Lonchura striata: one gene and its partner. The protein of the gene in region 2 interacts with the protein of the main gene of each other region in a biochemical or structural test. Links are inferred from orthologs where the notes say so. Each region holds a gene or a part of one and is shown on either strand. Other genes may lie near its edges.

Region 1 (10,901 bases), on a different chromosome or scaffold from region 2:
TGAGGAAACTGAATTTTCTTAGTATCAGATGTACAAGAAGATTCTCCCATACTTCACAAGAGGACTTCTCCCTAGTGACCACTAGCACTTGAGAAGAAATAAAACCACCTGGGGCAACCTTGGAGGAAGGGTAAGTGTCTGCTGTAATGTTTTAAAAACAGGTCTGCACACATCCCAAATAACAATTGGAGTTAGTGAACACAGACAGGTTTGCTAGCTCTAAGTCATGACAGATGAAACTAGGTGTTCTTTTAAATCAATCAATTGAAAAGATGATGTCAAAAAACAACTACTTCTGTATTCTCACCAAATCATTTGCACTGGCATCAGCCAGTTTCTGAAGCAGAACCTGGAAGTTACCAAAATAGGCTGCAGCAGGAATTACAGGAAATAATCACATAAATATCTTTGTGTAATTCAGTTAAATAGACAACGGGAAGACCTCATCCAGGCTCAATTAGATCTGCCAGTCACAGTGGTAGCTTTAACTGTCATTATTAATGCCAGATGCCCTATGATATTCACAGTTACCAGAAATATGTATCCTACAACATGAACAAAGAGTTGTTGCAACTTTAAAGCTGAGAAAACAGGACCTCGGAGGCCAAGCAATAACAAAGTTCTCCTCTTGCACAAGTCCACCTTAAAAAAGAAGAAAAGAATTGCAACTGTCTTGATGTAACATTTCCAGGCACATTTCTTGTCTTGTATACAGTGAGGGAAGACAGCCACCCTCATTTTCTTTTTTTGTGCAGCTTAGAAAAATGATACCATGGGGCCAACCAAGGAAGAGCTCTCTCTGCCTCTGCTGGAGAGAGACAGGAGGGAGACAGAACAGCAACACTTGTGCCTGAGCCCTCTCAGGAAAACAGAGACCCTTCTAAGCAGCATGCCCAGGAAAACAGCATGACTTGCTGAAATGCTGCAAAAGCCATGATTTCTGAGAGAAATCAGTAACTCACAGCCAGTTTCTTCTGAGGTGAGAGGATCTAAGCAAGAGGGAGAAATTGTAAAGGTTACTAAATAAGCAAATAAATACTGCTTCTCACCTAAACCAGCAATGAAATGAACATTCAGTTAATTCCTCTTCCCCCAGTCCTGCTCCAAAACCAGGCTGTCTGCTTTATAGCATTATGCTGAACAGGTATTACTAGAGAAATATGCAGTCTTACAAATTTAAGAAATCCCATCTCACCTGAATATGGCCTAATTTAGGAATCAGTTCCTACCAAGCCAATCCAGCAAAGAGGGTTCAACAAAAGGCTGAGGGTTGACAATAGTCTCCATTTTGAGTACATCAGTTGTCTCTCACATATAGTCAAGAAAGCATAGTTTAAACACTTCCACTGTCACTTCCTACAGCAATGCAGTCAGCTTTATGATTTTTTTTGTTGGGGTTGGGGGGGAAAAGAAACAAAAGGCTTCTTTGGTCTAGAATCTCTGTATCTGAGTGAAAGGTTTCTGAGAATTAAGGAGTGGGGTTTTCTTAAGCCAGAAAAAAATAAACAAAATATCACCTTACTTACTTCTCAAACTACCCCAGTGAGCTCCATCAAATATTTAGGTAAGACTACTATTTATTGCCTCTGCACTGTCCTCTCACACACATATTGTACTGCATTTGCTTCCAGCATCGCCAGCTGAAGGCTCATTTCAGTGTGCACAAATATTAAGAAAAATCACACCTGGATGCTTCTCAGAAAGGCCATTTGGTCAGTACATACTATCTCCTCCCATGAAGCCATGATGGTTAATAACATTTTCTGTACATATTCTGTCTTGCCAACAGAGCTCACAAGTCTTACGCTGCGGCACCTTTTTCAACTTTGAGATGTCAATTCCAGAAGCCTGTGCTGAAAGAGAACATGATTAAAGACTCCCAGCTTCTTTAGTTTCCATAAATTAAAGGTGGAAGGGATGATTAGCTCACAGAAACTACAATTTCTGCATGACTATTTCTTAGCAAGTTCCCAATGAAAAGCAAACATCATCTACCTTGGCTATGCTGATGCCTTGTGACCAACTTACACAGCTTTTAATTTCTGCAGCTACCAAGAAAGTTCTCTATACCTGCTCCACAGAACCATTTAAGCAGAACCATTTAAGCTGGAAAAGATCTCTAAGACCATTGAGTCCAACCTTTGACCAATCAGCACTTTCACAACCAGGGCACTGAATGCCACATCCAGTTGTTTCTTGAACACTTCCAGGGATGGTGACCCTTCCACCTCCCTGAGAGCCCATTCCAATGCTTAACAACCTTTTCCATGTTCTTCCTGATGTCCTCCCCTGACTCAGCCTGAGGGTGTGTCCTCTTGCCACGTTACCCATATGCTGCTTGTGAGGTATCACTACTTCCTTTTCCTCACTAGTTTCTGCCCATTCTCCACCATCTCCAGAGCACATGGGTCCCACATAAGAGACTGCTCAGCCCATTCAGGTGGCTTGGACACCTGAATTACTCAGCCTTACTGTTCATGTAAACACATTCCAGCCACAGGAGCAGCAGCAGACTTCTGGTTCCTGGATTTCTTCCTGGGTTTCCTCTGACTCCCACAAACAGTAGGCATTTGCACACTCATGCACCTACAATCACTTTCTGAATGAAAGGACTTCTTATCAGCACCTTTCTTGTAAACTTGCTTTCCACCTAGTGTTTCTTTGGAATTGGGACAGTAAGGGGAAAAAAAAAGCCCACCAAGAAGAAACTTTCAAGTCTGATAACGATGTAGGCAGCAGACTTTGATGCACTGTATTGCACGCTCTATCATTTCCTTAGCAGTCAAAGCCAGCACTGCCAACAGACAACTAACCAGAAGGCTGAGCAGCCTGAACACACTGAAATCTGTCACCAAAAAAAAAAAAATCACAGCAGTTTCACCTGCTCAGATATATAATGAAATTAAGAAGAAATAAAGTAAAAAAAAAAAAAAACCAAAAGGCAAGCCATGTTGTTTATTATTATTAGTTACTATGAGAAAGAGAATTTCTGCACTAGCTGTTCATTTAACAGCCCAACATTTCCATAAGGTCTTGTAGGAGAAAAAAGAGAGGGGAAAAAAAAATTCCAAGCCAATGACCTATTAGACATGCATAACTTCAAATATCTCCACTGCAGGACTCTGAAAAAAAAAAAAAAAAAAAAAAAAGGGGGGGGAAGCTTATATACACAAAGCTTTTTGTTAGGTAATGTTCTATTAAGAGGAATGAAAGGTAAACCTCAAAATATACCCAGCATCAGTACCATGGATGTTCCACATCTACAGTGGATTGAGAACCCATCCTGGGCTGGTCCTAGGTGGTCATTTCATTGGAAGATGGTGCAACATAAATATTTTCAAAACACTATTTTCATGTACAGCCCTTTCCCCAAACATCAGTAAGACACAAAAAGCATAGAATAGAAGCACTGTAAGAAGACATGATCTGAAAGTGACAGCCTTATCACAACTGGCACTACTAACAGTGTGATAATTCAGTGGCTCTCCGGAGGTATGTGCTGCACATATCTGCTTTTTCCTATTATTTATGCGTGCTTTCTGGCTGGGGAATCTTTGCTCAACTTATTGTAACCTTAACCTTTTATTTTTAAGGAGTTCGGAGCATAAAAATACTGGAAACTCAAGAACTGTTCCGAAGATGCAGCATCCAGCGCTGGCAACAGAAAACGCGCTCCCGCCCCTCGTTCATTCACCTTGTAAAGGCCAGAAAAACAAAGTATGCAGCCCGCATCCTAAAGTTTGCACGGCGGCAGACGGCCGCTGACTCGCACTTAACCAGGCCGGCCTTTAACAGGTTACATCCGAGCGAAACCATGGAAAGACACACGGAAAGAATGCGTGTGGCGGGGGACGCGCTCGTTTGCGTTTCGCTCCTGGAAACGCTATTTGGCTGCTCTCGCCCCGGGATGAGGGAGGGGAAGCGGCACCTCCAGGAGCCATCCGCCTCAACACACGCGTAAAGATCCCGCGGGGAGCGTCCCCCGCACAGCCCGGCGGCGTGGCGGGTCGGAAAGCCCCGCAAGTAGGGAGCTGGCCGGGGCGGCGGGGCGCGGTGGCCCCGTGGGACAGGGACGCGGGCACTTACAGCTGAAGAACCCCACGAAAAGGAGGAGCAGCAGGCGCGGATTGCGGCTCGCCATCTTCCCGTACCGGCGGCGGCGTGGGGCGGTGCCCGGTGCGCCGGGGGCTCCGCGCCCGCGGAGCTGTTGCCGTGCGCGGCCGCGCTCTGCCTCCTCCGGAGCCGGAGCCGCCTCAAACTTTTAACGTGTCCGAGGAGGCGTCTCCCCGCTCCCAGCGCAGGAACCGGGGCGGGGATGTGCCCTGGCCACCCGCCCGCTCGCCCGCCCGCCCGGCAGCGGGGAGCCGCGGCGGGATGCGGCTCCGGGAGCATCCCTCTCCTCCACCGCCCCCGCAATGCCCCCGCGCATCCCCGGGGCTCTGGGGTGTTGAATACAGCAGTTCTTGTCTCCGTTTTGTTCCTTTTTAAGCTGTGACATCTTCATAAACTCAAGGACATTTGTTGCAACAGAATAAACTTTTCGTTAGGAAAAGATTGAATGTCTCTAAGAAGAGCGTTGTCCCTGTCGGCGCGTTTCCCTTCAGGCAAATCCTCTCAGGGAGGAAGTAGGGATAACGGGGTGAAGTCACGGAACAAACACTTGGATATTCCGGCTAACAAAAAAGCCATGTGAGGGCGAGGCGCTGTTTTAAGGCGAAAGAAGTCACAGTGACTCCTTGTGTGCCTGTCTATACAGCTGGATTGGACAGAATCCCACCTACAGCAGGAGATGGGTTGGTTACACGGTGACCTTCAAAATATTTTTATTATGTTATTATTTTATACCAGACTATGAGAGTTTTTTGTTAAATATACAGGTGGTGTAATAGTTCTTTAAATTTATGAATCAAGGAAAATTACTCATCTTGACAGTGGATAGTGTCTCTGAGTAGTTTCCAGTCACATCTTAAAAATGCATTACCACTGATGTAAAGCAATTCTATAACAAGAAAAGTATCACAAGTAATTTTTTTGGTAATCAGAACATCAATGATGGCTATATTTTGTTAGAAAGCAAGAAAATGAAGAAAGATCATTTATAAATAAAATCTCTAACAGCTATTTTAATGGAGAACAAGGAAGTAGGATACCATGATGCTCTTCATGGCAAAATCTTAGTTTATTTTTCACGTGGAAAAAAATGTATACAGAACACAAGTAATATTTCTTTTAAAAGATCTACATACATATATGTATGTATGTATGTCTGTCCAGTATACATTACTGGTATCATGACATGCATTTTATAAAATCAAAACTGTCCCATTGAAAACAGAAAAGTTTTTTGTGTGTCCCAGCACATCATAGTTTTAGGCAAGTACAAAGGTTCATTGATTTCAGTAGAACTGCTTTACTATTTAGTCAGACAATGACGGAAATGTTGTCTTGATATAACATTTAAATATGGCAAGAGTCTGGTGGAAAAGTTATAAACATGGGGAATGTTAAGAAATGGCAGTATGGAATGAAATTAAAGGATAGGCAATATAGGATGTTATTAATACTGATGGCTGATGAAAAACTAACATGCCCAGGCTGTGTGTGCTGGAAGCCCCAAAACCCCTCCTTGTGCTGGGCTGCATCCAAAATCCAGTAGGCAACAGGGCAGGGAGGGGATTCTGCCCCTCTGCCCCGCTCTGCTGAGACCCCACCTGCAGGGCTGCATCAGCTCTGGGCTCCAGCACAGCAAGGACAGGGACCTGCTGCAGCCAGGCCAGAGGAGCACCGAGGGGAGCAGAGGGATGGAGCAGCTCTGCTGGGAGGAGAGGCTGGGAGAACTGGGATTGTTCAGCCTGGAAAAGAGAAGGTTGCATGGACAACTCACAGCAGCTTTCTAGTATCTGAAGGGAGGCAGGAGAGGGAATCTTCATCAGAAAATGTAGTGACAGGACAAGGAATAATGGGTTCAAACTGAAAGAGGAAAATTTAGGTTTATATATAAACTTAAACCTTACAGTGAGCATGATGGCATGGATTGCCCAGAGCAGCTATGGCTGACTCATCCCTGAAGTGTCCAAGGCTCAAGTGTTCAAGTGTTCTGAGCGACCTGGTCCAATGAAAGGTGTCCCTGCCCATGGCAGGAGGTGGAATGAGATGGACTTTAAGGTCCCTTCCAACCTAAAGCTTTCTGTGATTCTGTGATTCATTAATGCAGCTCTTATACTAGAGCAAATCCATTCAAGCATGAGGTCAGACTAAAGTTCCTTTCTTCTGTTCACTATTTTATTTCTCTTGCAAGTGAAGCAAATTCCTAGTGTTTCCCCCACATTTCTCTGTTTTTTGTACAGTTCATATTTTCTTTTCATTCTCTTCTTTTATTTCAGCAATGGCTAGATTATGGTTTTTCCACTTGCTTTATACTACTACAGGAAACACCAGCAATTAAATGATAGTATTTTGAAGGCACTTACAGAATTACTGGAAAAATGGTTGTAATACATATAGTTCATGTAATATATACACTTTTTCTCTATGTACTTTGCTCAACAATTGTATTCTTAAAAATACTGTTAAGTACTTTGTTAGAAGGGCACAAGACTGCTATCCATATTTTTTACCTTTTAAAGTTGGAGTAGAAATGTTTTCATCAAATAACACATAGCGCCCAAAATGGAAGAATTTGTTTGAGATGCTCACTTTAACAGATATTCTTGGAGAACTTACCACAGACACTCCTTTTTAGAATAATAAAAATAGTTTATAATTAACATCTGCACACAAAATGCTAATCAACAATAACTATCTTACTTTGTGATAGCTGTTCTGGTCAAGTTCTTTGTATAGAAAAGCCTTGAAAAATTGAGTGTAATTGCAACATGATTTCAAGATTTGGATGTCTTGTTACAATCCCAGGAATATAGTTTTTGCTATAATGGGCAAAACTCCTTCATAACAATGTTTAAGGCATGAACCACTTCAGTCTGTGACACACAGTTGAAGAGTTCTGTTCTCACCTAACAGAAAAATTGTTTTGAAAAATAATTTGTAAAAATTCAGTGAAAGACCATAAGCCTCTGGCTCCTCACTTGGGAAACATTTTATCTTTCCTAGCTATATAATGCTAAAAATGAATAAAGAGAAATTAAGTTATAGAATCCTCCTTTTGGTGATTTCTCTACTCAAAATGTATTTTATTTTGCAGAGGGGAATAAAACCTCTCTAGATTTATTCTTCTGCAATTAACACGCTGATTTCTAGAATAGCTTTGATGTAAAATAACAACAATAAAAAATCAGTATAACAAATTAGAACTGCTAAATTTGGTTGCAAAAGTTTTGCAATGTAGATACTCAAATCTATCACAGATAGATTACCAAGGAAGATGACTGATTCCGCTTCTCAAAAACCTGCATAGAAGAGGGGCAGAAGTGGTGAAGCAGTGCAGTACATGAAGAAAACTTGCTGCTTAATTAGCACCTTGAAGAGTAAGATGCTAATTTCTATGGAATCTCTTCTTTGTTATGCCTTACACATGCCAGACTAGAAGAGATAATGAATGTTCATCCCTTTACTGCCATTAAAAATAACTTTAGAAAGAAGTTTAATGAATGACAATGTTTCCCTAGTCTGTCACATTCAGGCATATCTCAAGTTTACTCATTGAATTTAAGAAGATTAAATAATGCAACCCTCATTCCATGTAAGAAAGCACATATTTTTACCCCACTGATAAGCAGGTAGTATAGATATGTGGTGATCTGGAAGTAGCAGTTCTCTTGTTTGCAGAGTGAAATGCCAGTGAAAGCATAAAGGATTACAGTTCTGTGCTGCTTTCCCTTTTTCTTCCTGTGCTTTCCTACCATGATTGCTCTTTAAATGTTTTAGTGTCTCTTGGTTCATCTATAATAGAAGATAACCCAGCAAGTTTGTAGACAACCGTGCCTGATAATGATAAGAGTAGCAGTGGGGAAGATGTAGAATATGGAGCCACAAAGGGAGAAAATGAAAGACACAGAAAAAAAGTGTTCCTGTGAATAATCATGCCTATCATTCTTTATATGGACACTTGAGAGCTCACTGTTATTGGAACTTACATGGTTCAGGCTTTGATCAAGAAGACACCTTAGAATATGCTTCCATATTTAACAAAGAAGAAACAGATTTTTCCATATTTCTAAAAAGAGAAATGTTATGTTTGAGATGGTCAGAGGTGCCATTTGAGATTTGGTGCCACAGCCTGTGCATAAGATCTCTGTACATATTTTTTCTCAGCACACTAAATTGTTGTTACATATATTTGCTCTAATAAATGCTGAATACAGTAGCACACAGCTGTGAAGTGACCATTCTGATGTGATTCCAGGCATAGCTATGGGATAAGTTGATGGAAAATTATTTTGTAAAACTGCTAAAACAGACTCCATTTAATTTAGCTCAATTGCCAATACGCATATTTTACAATCAATATCATATTTTTTTTCCTAAAGTCTGTATATTGATGTACTATGCATTTTTTATGCAGCTTTAACTGCCAGCCTGCAGTACATTGAATCTATCAGCTTGAAAGCCTTGCCCTTTAGTGTAAAGAATAATCAACAACCATATGTGGGGACAGGCTGATATTTCCAATTTAAGGGACACATTTTCTTTTGCAATTTTAGTTATCATGGCACCTGGTTTTTTACAATGTCCTGGGGTATTGCTTTAATGGTTGCCACTCCCCTGCCTGTCACCAGGGCCTTGTCTCCTTTTGAGTTCTGTGGCATTTTATTATTTTTTATACCTGATTTATCTGAAAAAGTATCTGCTTGTTTTGTAATTTGAAACTAAAAACTGTGAGCAAGAATATTTTTGAGAAAAGAAGCAAAAAAATATTTTCAGATATGTTTTTTTTTTTCTTCAAGCTGTCACTGATGGCTGTTTAAAGACAGACCATGCCATGGATTAGTTGCGTGGCTATAATGCAATGGACTAGAGTAGTGATAGAACACTGTATTGCTATTAGACTCTTAAAATATTTCATACCTAATGGGACTGTCAAACTTCAATCAAGAAGGCCACAAAATGTGAGGGCAGAGCAAGCAAAGAGCAATACAAATTACTTGTTCTTAGTAGCATTTTTCAGTGAAAACCCCTACAGCCCACCTTCATTTTCTGGAATGTCTTCTATGATTTTATCTTTGACTTGCTAAGTACAGAATCAATGCCTTTTTCTTCTTCTTCTTTTTTTTTTTTTAAACTGAATTTGCAAGATTACTGCCACTGAGTAGGCGGCTCAGTAGCAAATAAAGGTACATTTCAAAAAAAGATCCATCACATAGGACGGCATTGTAGGACACAATTCAGCCTAAGCAACAGTGGACAATGCATTAGCCACAATGCTACTGGTGGAGAATTCGGAATTATTTTGGCACAGTGTTCATAACGCTTTACTGCTCACTAGGTAAAAGAATGCCTGGATGGCAGAGCCCAGACTTCTGGTGAGTGGTGTAAAATCCAGTTGGCAACTGGTCACCAGTGGTGTCCCCAGTGCTCAATATTGGGGACAACCCTATTTCATCTCTTTGTAAGGAGGGGATTGAGTGCATCCCTCGTCAGCTGCAGGTAACACCAAGCTGGGTGGGAATGTTGATCTGCTGGAGGGCAGGCAGGGTCTGGATCAATGGGCTGAGGCCAGTGCTCTGAGGTTCAACCAGGCCAGTTACCAGGAACGGCCCTTAGGTCACAACAACCCCCTGCAGGACAGGCTGCAAAGCAGGAAAAGGACCTGGGGGTGTTGGTTACAGCAGCTGAATGTGAGCCAGCAAGTGCCCTGGTAGCCAAGAAAGCCAATGGCACCTGGCTTGTCTCAGAAAAAGTATGGCCAGCAGGACCAGGACTGTTCCCTGCACTCAGCACTGGGTGAGGCCACATCTCGAAACCTGTGTTCAGTTCTGGGCCCCTTAATTCAGGAAGGACATTCATGTGCTGGACCATGTCCAGAAGGGCAATGAAGCTGGGGAAGGATCTGGAGCTCAAGTCTGATGAGGGGTGGCTGAGGAACCTGGAGTTGGTTGCCTGGAGAAAAGGGGAAATCTCATTATTTTCTACAACTACCTCCCAGGATGGTGTAGCCAGTCTGGTCTCTACTCCGAAGTAACAAGTGATAAGAAAGGAGAAAACAGTCTTAAGTCATACCAGGGGAGTTAAAGTTGGATATTAGGAAAAAATTTGTCACAGAAAGGTTTGTAAAGCAGTGAAACAAGCTACACAGGGAAGTGGTGGAAGTGTTCTGAAAATAAGTAGATGTGGTACTTTGTGATATGGTTTAGTACATGTGGTGCTATTCAGTTAAAGATTGGACTTGATTGTCTTGGAGGTCTTTGCCAACTTCAGAGATTCCATGATTCTATAATTCTATGAGAATATACCTCTTAAGATGTAGTTACACTGCATGTTGTCTTACAAGGCTGTTGCTGCTTCTGGCCATGGATTACTGCTTTCACTTTGCTTGTGCATGAAAATTAGTATAAGAAATAATGTTAATCATATGAATAAAACATTATCTTTCAGCAGTACTCATCCTGCAAATTGTATCACTTCAGTGACCTTGCATTCAGTGCCTTGTACAGTGCTGCTATGGTTGTTTACCTAGAGGATGAGCAGTGAGAACAGAAAAGAATGGCAAAGTGAGGCACAGGAATTTTTAAGCTGCTGTGGTGTGTTTTGCTTTGAATCCATGTTTGCCCCTTGTTCTCCTCCCTAATCCCCTGACAATCTTCCCAAGCCCTTCGCTAACCTCCTCCCTTCCAAATTGTCAATCCTCCCTATCCCTACCTCTTTCTCCAGAGAGCTCTGCGTTTGTCCTGTTGCTCATGACACCCTATTTGTGTATTATTCCCCTCCCTGTTCTCCCTGATAGA
Region 2 (11,543 bases):
ACACACACAAAAAGAACTTTAAATCTTTTTTATGGTAAATTTAGCCTCTACTGCCCTTGAGTATTGCCAAAGGGGTCACTGAATGGGCATTGTGGCAGATCCATTTAAGCCTGTAGCAAAAACCTAGTGGTCTGGCTCAAGGAGGGAATGTGCCAAGAACAATACAAAGCCCAAGCAAAATCAGCAGATTTTCACACCAACCCACCCATGTGTTAGGCTCTACAAATCATGCCCCAGTGACACAGTCATGAGGAACTGTGCAACTGTTTGCTCTACAGAACACAACTTGCATCAAAGCTGCCGTTGTGTACCTGGCAGAGAACCGGCTGCCTGAGAACTGACTTCTAAGCAAATAGTCCCCGTTAGCTGGCACTGGGGGGATAAAATCAAAAACAGAAAAAAAAGCAAGCTTCACAGACACAATCACTCAGGTTTCAACCCTCATCCCTCACAATTCCCTGCTGATGAATGTCAGACCTACCAAAGAGATGCAGCTTTAAGCTTTGGGTGGCTTAAGCCCCCAGTGTACAAATTACAAGAGAATATGGTCATCTGACACCTGTTACCTTCGCTTACACTGCCAACTCTCCTGGAGTTCTGGTCTCTTATCAGCAACAGCCTCTAACACTATCAAAGAGCAGATTACAATTTCTTTTCACAAATATTAGTGCACTGCAGTTTTCAAATTAACAATTGAAGTATTGTTCCATGCAACATCAAAACCCTCACAAAACTTCATCTCCTACAGCATTTGACATGGGAGAGGGGAAAGGTGTCTCAAGACTTCTATTTAAATCTTTTTGATTCAGCAGTAAAACTTAATTTATTTATTTTAACTGGAAAATTAGTTTTATATATAAAGTCTAGGAGCACCCTATAAGCTCATGATATGCCGGGCATCAGCCTGAACTATCATGGAGACCAAATAACCCCTCCAGGGACTCAACATGCCACTGAACAACTCGAGCAAATCTACAATTTCCTATTGCATTCTCTTGCTTACCATTTGCATCACTTTTTTTTTTAATCTACCCATTGCTTAAGCAATGCAACTTTTACTTGCAAGAAAAAGAAGATAAAATGCTTACAATATCCTCCCCAAAAACCAAAGCACAAGAGATTATACTGACAGTCAAAAGTCAACAAAAAAAGTCAGAAACATCTCTGGCTACATCTAGATCAAACCAAAGTTACAAGATGCAGAATTACTTCCTTTCAATAGTTGCTCAATACATGATTTTTATAATAATTTTCCACCTTTTAACACTGGTTCAATATTTGAGAAGCATGTTTCATCTCAACTGACTGTCTGCCTTCTCCCTTACGGTGCAGGCCATCATCTCAATGTTAAACCACTCAGATGTGGCTGACCTCCCCTCTTAAATCACACTTACCTTCTTGCAAGTTTTTAACCATTACATTAATTGCTAGGACTACACCAACTCCAAATCTGCACAACCCTTGACCAGCAGGGTCTGGAAACTACATCTCCCATTCCTCCTGCCCAAGTTGTACTCCTTTAAGACTCGGCAGAGATGGTGCCAGAGGCTGCATCACTCCATCCAGCCACACACAAGTGCACCATTAGCCTGCCCCCATGAAAACTGGGTTTCATTTAACATGATCGATTTTGCTGACTCCACTTGCCCTGAACAAGGTGGACACTTCAAACACCTCTTATCATTTGCTTGTTCATTTCCAGCAAACACAACCTGCAGAAAGAATGAATCATGTTTCATACACAAAGCTTCTCTTGGAATAAAAGTAAAAGAACGCAAAAATTTATACACACTACACAGACCAGCCTTTAAACACAGCCTTTCATATTGATAACTAATTCCACACACAAAGACTTAGCATTGACAGCAATGTTAATCCATAATAAATTTTTGGAGATTTATGAATCCTGATCAAAGACATAGCAGAACTAACTGCAGTTATCTGCAGTTGTATTATCTGTATGTCTTTAACTCCTAAAATTTTACAGCGAGGAGAACTGTACTATTATGTGGATTGCTCTCCATAAGTACTTTTTCCATTGTCAACATGTCTCTTCAACCTAAATAATACCAAGTCAGAACACTGAGGTCAAATTTTGAAGCTATTCCCTCCTGGCACTCTGCAAGCATGGTTTTGGGCAGCCTCACTGCTAATCACAACTGGGAAACCGTGACAAAGCGGGGGGAAATCTGGGAAGGGCTGACAACTCAGTTCTCAAGGAGTTCTCCTGAAGAACTTCTGCAAAAAGTAGACACACACATTCTTGAAGGATGAGAAATGCTGCTTTTCCTATAAGTATGAAAACCATAGACTTCATTCAAATATTTTGAATAATCTTCCACCAGATATTCTTTCCATACAAGCATAGTGGTGGTGAAATAGATTTCAGTGTCAGTTTGATACCAGCTGCCAGACTGTAAGTTCATATGGCCACATATACTTTGATCCTCTCAGGAATTACTTTGTCCCCTCTCTTGTCTCCTTACGAAGTGAAGACTTGCACATCTGCTACACAAGCATAGAAAGGAGCCATCTAACTGCTACAAAAATAGAGTCATCTGTGGAGTTCTAGCATCCAAACCAGACAATTACTATGTTACTCTACTGCAAGCACAGCAAACAGCACTATACACCTACTTACAAAACTTACTTACTGTAAGATCCGGTTCCCTCCCACCTAAACATCACCACAGAAAATCGTCAGCAAATTCAAGTTAAAAGTAAGGTTTGACAGTGACCATATAAAACACTCAGAGAAAGCCCATGGACACTGCTACTGTTTTCAACCACAGAATTTCCATCTAATAGAAACAATCTCAGTAATTGCAGCTACCTCAAGTCCATACCAGTGGCATTTAGCATAACCACCATATAAATACTAATAAATAAAACCACCATGTCATTTTAACCCAGGATGCAGAGCTTTTGATACCAGGAACCAGTCAAAGTCTGGCTGCCCCTCTGCAAACTGTCTCTTTAAGAAGTACATGGCCATAGTCAGTTACATGTTTTCCTTCCCATGCTTCCACAGGTGGGCCACTTTTTTTCTATAATGAAATTTGCAATGATGTAACCTTTTCCTGGTCACTGTTGTGTGTGTCCCCTGTGCTTACAACTTCAATCCCTCCCAGGTTTAACATTATCCTGCAGAATGCAACTGCCACCCTTTAACACAGCTTAATACTTGGAAGCCAGGATGCAGCCCATTGCCACAGGAGTTACACGGGCCACAGTTTTGGAAAAAAACACAGCAAAGTAATTATTTTTATTAATGCTCTAACACTGATGAACAAATGCTGCAAACACTTCTCATGTGAATGGCCCAATGAGGCATTCAGTGTTCCATAAACAGTCTCACTTTACTGTTCACTGCTTTACCTTAACCAGAGAGGTACTTTCAGCCCCAGACTCCTACATGCAAGTAGACTGCCATGTGCATTAACTGCTGTATATGAATGACAGCTGGTATGCAGCCACAGCCGTATCCTCAAGAATCATTTTTCTCTTTTTTCCAGACAGAATCAGAATATGTTTGCTGTCTTCAAACCCACGTTCTTAGGTGGGGAGATGATGGGAAACTTAGTTCCTGTTCTCCTCCCAGCATCAGCAATTCTCTATTAAAAAGCTGATTTTAAAAATTTTCTCAGGAATCACTTCAAACCAATCAATGAACCGGTCACAATATTCCTTCCATTGCATGTTTCAGGACAGGCTGGCAGTGTGCATTGGCCAAAGTAAAACCGGTAAAAGTGTAAAATGTCTCAGAAGGGATAAGAGAGAGAAGCACACTAAAACTTCTTGGATCGATAAGGCAGAGGAAAGGGGAAGGGCACTGCTGAAGTTCTCAGCCAACGATGCTCATACTGCCCAACAAACCAGTTGATTAAAAAGAAGTTTGCAGCGACAAGAAAGCACGGGGAGGGTGGGAAAGGGAGGAAGGGAGGAAAGAGAGAAAAAAAATATTTTTAAAAAAAAAAGGAAGGGAAGAAACTCAAAACCCAACATGTTGCCCATGGAGGGAAAGCCAAGTCTGCAGCTGCCTGCACACGCACAGCCAGGGATTTCAACATGGGGCTGCGGGAGGCCGGCGCGGCGCTGCCGGGCCCCGCCGCGGGCCGGGCCGGCGCCCCCCGCACCCCGGGGCGCCGCGGAGCGTCCCGCTGGCGCGCAGCCTCCCCCGGGGGCGGCGGCCGCGGAGGAGCCGCGGAGGAGCCGCGGGCGGCCGCGGGCCCCTCGCAGCCTCCCCGGCGCGGGGGGCGGCCCGCGGGGCGCCGCCGGACGCCCCCGCGGCGGGGTCCCCTCGCACCGCCCTCCCCGCCGGGCCTGGAGGGCCGGGAAGCCTGGAGCTGGATTTCCAGCCCTCCGCGGCGCCGCGGCCCCGCCACCCGCCCCGGGGCAGACCCGGCACCGCCGGACCCCGCGCCGCTCTGCCGGCCGCGTTCGGGCGGCTCCCGCACCGACGCCCCCGGGGGCCGCCGGGCACCGGCGAACAAAGGGCCGCGGCCCGCGGGGAGCCGCGGAGGGGCCGCGCCGGCCGCCGCGGAGGGGCCGAGCCCCCCGGCCCCGCTCCCCGGCGGCGCCGGGCACACGCTCCCGCGGGCTCCGCCGCCGCCCCCGGCCCCGCTCCCGCCGCTTCCCCGGCGGGGCAGCCCGGACTTTCCCCCTCGCTTCCCTCCCCGCTCCGGGAAGCGCCATATTGATCGCGGGCGCCGCTCCCCGCGCCCCTCACCTTGGCGATCGCCTTCTTGTACCGGGTCACCGCTTGCTGGATCAGGCTGAAAACTTTCATGTTCCCGTCCCCGCAGGGCACGACCACCCGCGTCCTCCCGAAGCACACCGTGACTTTCATCCTGTGCGGCCGGGGGGCTCCCGCGTCCCTCCGGCCCCGCGCAGCCTTCCTCCTCCTCCTCCTCCTCCTCCTCCTCTTCCCCTCCGCCCTCCGCCACGGCCGCCCCCCGGCGGGGCGCGGCGCTCAGCCCCCGGCCGCCGCCGGGCTGCCGCTGCGGCCGCCCTGCCTCTGCCCCGGCTTCGCGGCCGGCCCGGCAGGCGCGGGGAAGGGAGGGCAGCGCAGGACTGGCCGGTGCTGCCTTCCCGAGGGCCGGGGGCTCTCACATGCCGCGGCGCTGCCCGCGGCCACCTGCCCGGCTCCTGCCCCGGCGCGCAGCGGCGGCGGGCGGGGCGGCGGCGCTGGCTCCGCTCCGCAGGCGTGGGGCGGCGCGGCGGGGCGGGGGCAGCCGGCCGCTCCGCGGGGCGCCGGCAGCGCGGACGGGGCGGGGGAGCCGGCGGGCCCGCACACGATCGGAGCGAGAGCCCCGAGCGAGCCCGAGGTGGTGCGGCTGCCCCCGCCTCGCTCTGCCCCGCCGGGAACCGGGGATGCGGAGCCGGGGCCGCACCGGCACAAGGAGCCCCGCGAAGTCCTGGTCCCGGTGCACGGGGGGAAACGGGCGCCGCCGCCCTGCCTCAGGTACGCGGGTCCGGGGAAAGCAGGGCACGGCACCGCAGAGAAGGCTGGACACCGCGGTGCTCTGCTGTTCCTCCCGGTGTCCGGGGCACGCAGCCACCGCTCACGGCCGAAATCAGATGGCCTTCCTGGTCGTTCGGGCATCTGTTAACGCAACAGGACCGGCACTGTGCAAAACCTCCTTCATCGTCAGTAACACCAGCATCAATGGAACCGCTGAGCAATCTCCTCTGCAAAGCCGTCAGAAGTCATAGGGGTTTGCAGATATCGTTCACTTTTTTCCACGGATTTCATTGAGGACAATGGAATTGCACAGTTCATTGGTCATTCAGTGTGGCCTGACAATATATATCTTTTGTGTAGATATGGTAAAACAATTTAACTAGAGTGAAAGCAGAGTTTGGAGGACAAGAAAGCAGTGAAAAAAAAAAAAAAAAACTTTCTTCTTCTTCTTTCTTTTCTTTTTCCTGAACACACAGCGCTAAATATGTGAAATTCAAGTAAGCTTTGTAGCACATAATGTCAACATCCTTCTACAACACCGGACAACTCAGCACGTGTCCTCTGGTGCTCCCTGCCCGGCAGCTGTCCCAGCTGGCAGTCTGCTCCTGTTCCCTTAGCAATAGTATTAGTAAATTTAAGAACTTCAAACCTGGTACAAATGGCAAAGCTGTCTGCGGTTTAGTAGGTACAGAGGTATGGAGCAGAATTAATGATGTTTTTAAAACATCAAAGGTAGAATTATTGCCCTGTTAAGTCAAGGGTGAGAATGGCATCCCTAACCCTTTGCATTCTAGTTAGGAGTTTCTAGTATAGAAAATGGAGGAGTCAGTTTATATTAATTTGGTTCCATGAATAATGTCCAATTTCATTCAAATCTATAGAACCTTTTTCTATTAATTTCAGTTTTGGAAAGCTTTGGGGCACTCACAAGATCAAAGAATCCATTTGCTGACCTACAGATAATTTTTAGCTTAGATGCCAGTTTTATTAGTTACCCACCCGAGTTATCTGGACTAATATATATGAATTTAAATAAGAAATAGTCTGCCTTTTAAAGCAGGAAACAAGCACACCTGCGTTGTTATATTTTGTCATATCCCCAGTGTTCACTTGTGTGGAATAAAGGCAGTATGCATGAGCTCAGAAAGGCAGAAATAAAATAAAACTGGTGTAAACAGTTTACAGCTCATGACTGAGACAACTGAGTACACTCTGCAGTTTTATGGCCATAGCTCATCAAGTTTATTATTGGAGAAAGATGAAAATGTCCTCTAACCTGCAGCTTCTGTGCTTTCTAGGTGATCATAAGAGCTGCTGGGAAAGGATGAAAGAGCTATAAATCCTTGGTTTAATATACATCACTTAAGAAACTTGCAGAAAGGACTGTGAAAATGTGAAATCAATAGAGGCTCTTCCCAGGCTGTTTTTAACAAGAACTTTACTATGTCATAGACTTTGTAATGTTTCACATTCAGTTGTCATTTGCATTTATCTGCTAAAACAAAATGTTGCATATTAGAAGTTTTTCCACACTGCTCTAAAACTTGATATTTATAAGGCTTAATACTCTTTCTGGTGGATAGTAACTATTTCACTGTTCAGACGCAGCTACAGGTTTTTCATGTTTTTCTGTGATTTAGTTCCTGCTCCTACTGTCTCTAACAAGTTGCTTGGCAGTTTTCCCAGCTGTTCTAACAGTCTCCTGGAAAAAAAAAAAAAAAAAAAAAAAAAAAAAAAAAAAAACAAAAAAAACCTCCAACAGTTTAGAAAGAAATATTGATAGTTTTTCCATTAAATGTGTGAAACAGGAAAATTCAGTAATGACGTACAAGAAAACAAGTCTGTCCTGGGATCTGATTTAAGGCCAAAACTTAAAGACTTGAACATGAATAGTGATAGACCTAACAGGAATGAGAGCCTCAAAGATTTGCGTTTCTTCCCCACTAGATACACACACAAATTATACACACATCATTCTGAAAGCATTTAAAATAAAATTTACCACATATAGTGTTTGTTTTGTTCTTCCTTAAAAGCAAGAATGAACTTTAAAAAAAAATACAACAAGGCTGAGAGATTGTATGAGGCCTAATTATGTACGGTAAATGAAGTATAAAACATTATTATAAGAGATTATGAGAAAAGGATTATACTAATCAGGAGAAGAATTGGCAAGAGTTGCTGGTTTAAAAAAATTACAACTACTATCCAGGCTGCAATATGGGTGGCATATATATGGTTCTGGATGTTGAACTTTCATGGGCTAACAGACCACAGAACCTGTCAATTCATTTATTAATGGTACACTGATGGAGGATTTCCATGAAAACATCATCTGTCTTGCAGGAAGAAGTAGGTGGTGAAGTATGGGATGGAGAGAATCAAAGCTGCTAATGATCACTAGTCAAGTTTTGTTCAAAACAGCCAACCAGTTGAAAGCCGCTGCTGCAAACATGCAAGGAGTGAGAATCTTGCAATTAAATGCAGATTATCAAAAGCCTTTTTTACGGGAATGGTAAATTATTCAGACAGTGGAATGATGCTGATTTCCAGAGTTATCTCACAGTTTATCCCATCTTTATACTCTACATCAGAGAATTTTTATGGAATAATTCTGGATGTGTTCAGGTTTAGTAGTCTGTTCATGGCATACAGATATTCCCTGGTTTCATAAGAAAACCCCAACTCCAGGTAGAGTATGTATTAAGTTCAGTTTCTTTTAAATATAGATATTTCCTTAAGCCCATTAAAGTTCATACAGTACTGTAGAAAGACCAGTGTCAAACTGAACAGCAAGAGTATTCCTTGAAGAATTACAGGTCTTTTTTTAAAAAGTGCCATTTGTGAAAATGCCTTATGGATATACCAAACAGTACTAGGTTTTAATGATTTAAGATAGCTACCTGCTGTAACACTTCTGCTGAGTTATTAGGTAAAGCCTTAAGTTCCTTTTCAAAATTCTGAATTTAAAGTTCTGAGTCGTTTACATTTTACTCTGAGGTAGAAATTTAATCAAAGTAAACATGTCTGTGACTGAGATCTTTCCATGGATAACCTTTCATCTATAGGAATGGGTTGATTTCTCAGATGTTATATTTTGTGACTTTTTTCCTGCCATACTGATGGTTCTTCCACAAAGAAGTAAGGGAGTGTTTCCCATCATTTTCTTTTATGATTGAGAAAATTATTAAAGCTTTTTAAATAATTTGTGGCTAGCCCTGGTCTAAAAACAAAAACAACAAAAACAACAACAAAAAAAAAAAGAAACTGAATAAAAATTTATTTTCTACAATTTCTCAAAAGGGTCTGGGATTTCAGGATTGAAAAGCCCTCAGATCAGTAAGAGGTAGTTACAGAATCACACATGTATTGATGTTCGACTTAGGGAATGCAGACACACAAATTTGGGAAGACAAGAACTTTCCTTGTGGTATAATAGAAGGAGGAAATTGTAGCAAAGAACAATGTATTGTTTTCAAGAAAAGCCACAAGACTGTTACCCTTTCCAGGGGCTCCAACCTGTGTCTCAAGCAACTTTGGGTAGTGGGGAGGTGTTTAGGGCTAAGGAATGAGTATAGGTAAATTCACTACTCTTTTCCTGAATTTTGCTGTTTTTAAAAGAATTATGTTTGAGGAATTTGAATAGTTTTCTTGATAATGCTCGGGTGGTTTTCACCCATCATGGAACTGTATAAATGGAATTGCTTTATCTAATTTATATCAACTAATAGCTTATTGAGCTGAGATCTGGGAAGGCCTGAAATAAACATATTGAGTTACTTCTTGGTTTGGGCCCTTAAAGGCAATCCACAGGTAAGGAAGCAGAATCATTAGAGGTCTAAAAAGTGAAAAACATGAGCTGCATGAAAAGAGTGAAGTTACTGGAGGTGTCCAGAGCACACAAGGGGGCATTGCCAGGAGATACCAAAATAATCTTTGTGTGTGCTAGAGCTATGGAATGTCATAAGGAAAACATTGACACCAATTGCTTCAGCCTGCTCTCATACCACACACTATATTTATGCTATGGGCTGAACAAAATTATGTTCACATAATGATACAGGTAGGGTTCTGAATGTCCCTGCACTGCAAAGCACAAATCTAAGTCACACATTGGAGCTGACCAGCTCCTTTTATTTGCCCTTAGGGCTATGAGGAGTTTGTAAGCCTGTGCCTGCCAGGAGGGACACCCACCACAGGGACTGCACTGGGACGAGAATGATCTCTCACCTTCTCTCATTTTCTCTCATGCCACAGAGCTGTTCTGCAGCCACCGAGGCTGTTCTGCAGGATCCAGCCACCCTAGGGCTTGCTTTGGGGGTATGAGGTTAGTTATACCCAAAGCACATCATCAGTTATAGTTTCAGCAAGCTTTACAGAGGAAACGAAAAGGGAGAACAGGAACACTGAATGTCAACAGCTGAGACCAGAAAATCCCTGCAGAATTTCACAGGACAAAGACGAAGCACTTACACAGATTTGGAATTTTATCCCTGACCAGTTTCAAAGGGCAGCTGCAGACATTCAGTCATCAAAGCTTCCTAACACCTAAAAAATGAAAAACTAAACACAGTATTTTCCACCATGGAAAATACTAGATAATCTAAGTAGAGGGGTCATTGCTGCCTAGCCCTATAATATTTAACACAAACATATAAACATATCATCAGTAAAATTAAATTTGTAGCAACTTTTCAATTACCAGCAACTATTAAAAATTGTAAAAATAAAGCTGTTAAAAATAGCAGAATTTAAGAGATTTAAAAGCAGCATCAGAAATCTAGGTGAACCTATTTAATATACAGAAGACTGAACTAAAGGGTACTTGTAGAATATATGATATTGGGACTCTAGGATGTCCATTTCAGTTTTGTCTTAAAGCTTTTAGAAGCCTGGTACTTCCTTGAAATTTCAGAAAGTTATTTCACTTATAGCCTCACCTGTAAAAGCTACTTGGAGACATTTTGTTTCTGATGAGAATTTATTGGATGTTTTCCTTTTTTTTTTTTTTTTTGTTTTGTTTTGTTTTGTATTGTTTTGTTCTGCCTGTTTAGAAGTTTGCTCTTTGCATTTCTTCCAGCCTTTCAGTTATTGATTAAGTTCTTGGCACAGATTTCCAAGCTCTGAAACACAGAATACAGAAATCCAGTGACTAAAAAAGGCTTGCGGAGTCTTTTCCCTGACTTCTGTGAGCTTTGGATCAAACCCTCAGGCCTTATCAGCTCTACCCAAATAACGAATAAAAAATATCAACACAGAGCTACAGTACTGGGCTCATTTGTCAAGTACTTGCAGAGGTGGAACAAATTCAGATACTGCCAGAGGAACCCATTTGCTGAAGAGAAGCTATGCCAAATTATTTGCCACTATCAGGTTTTATCTATTGATGAGCATTCCTGAAAAAATACCTGCCTGTGACATGAAGAAGAACACCCACAGGATATGTTAGTCAAAAGGCCTATCAAAACATGATAGAACATATATTCCACCACACAAATTATTCATGGGGTTTATAAACATATTAAGGATATATTTCTCAACTGTTGTTCCTCTTTAGGAATCTTTAATTTTACATCCTGTCCCCATCCTTGTTGGACTGAAAATGAATGGGAGAGCGGCATGGCTTTGAAAAAAAAAATCGTTATCTTGATATTTGCGGGAAAACATTGATAAAGCTTGAAGGGAAATATATCCCTTGCTCAGCTTCTCCCTGTGTTGATGGTAACAGGGAGGACTGCACAGGGTAAGGATATTACAGCAAAGACTTTCCAATTTGCACAGGAATTTAGAGGGATAAAAATACAGACATGCACTTGGAACACATTCATCTCTGTTACACATGCAGTTAAATACACTCCTGATGCAAACACATGCTATCACTCCTGCATAAATATTTGCTCCAGAGCAAAGTCCCATGGCACCTGCAGAAAGCCTTTTCTAGGGCACAGGCCAGCAGTCAAGTGTCAAAGCATGCAGGACCAGCAGGGAATGTATTACACATTTCCTTGCAGGGAGTGTGAGTAGGATATACACTGTCACCTTCACTGCTGCAGCAAAACTACTCACTGAAAACTTCCAA

Evidence for each region.
Region 1: the proteins of PARD3 (region 2) and JAM2 form a complex in vitro, tested with the Homo sapiens proteins (2 studies listed by BioGRID and IntAct, with this or other methods). The link is inferred for Lonchura striata from reciprocal best matches to the Homo sapiens genes PARD3 and JAM2.

Annotation. Positions count from the first base shown.
Region 1 is NC_134604.1:5,386,414-5,397,314, forward strand, and holds the start of JAM2 (junctional adhesion molecule B), read right to left. Parts: upstream 4,294-10,901; 5' UTR 4,142-4,293; coding exon 4,087-4,141; intron 1-4,086. UniProt on the Homo sapiens protein: Junctional adhesion protein that mediates heterotypic cell-cell interactions with its cognate receptor JAM3 to regulate different cellular processes. Plays a role in homing and mobilization of hematopoietic stem and progenitor cells within the bone marrow.
Region 2 is NC_134603.1:143,723,906-143,735,448, forward strand, and holds the start of PARD3 (partitioning defective 3 homolog), read right to left. Parts: upstream 4,979-11,543; 5' UTR 4,850-4,978; coding exon 4,730-4,849; intron 1-4,729. UniProt on the Homo sapiens protein: Adapter protein involved in asymmetrical cell division and cell polarization processes. Seems to play a central role in the formation of epithelial tight junctions. Targets the phosphatase PTEN to cell junctions.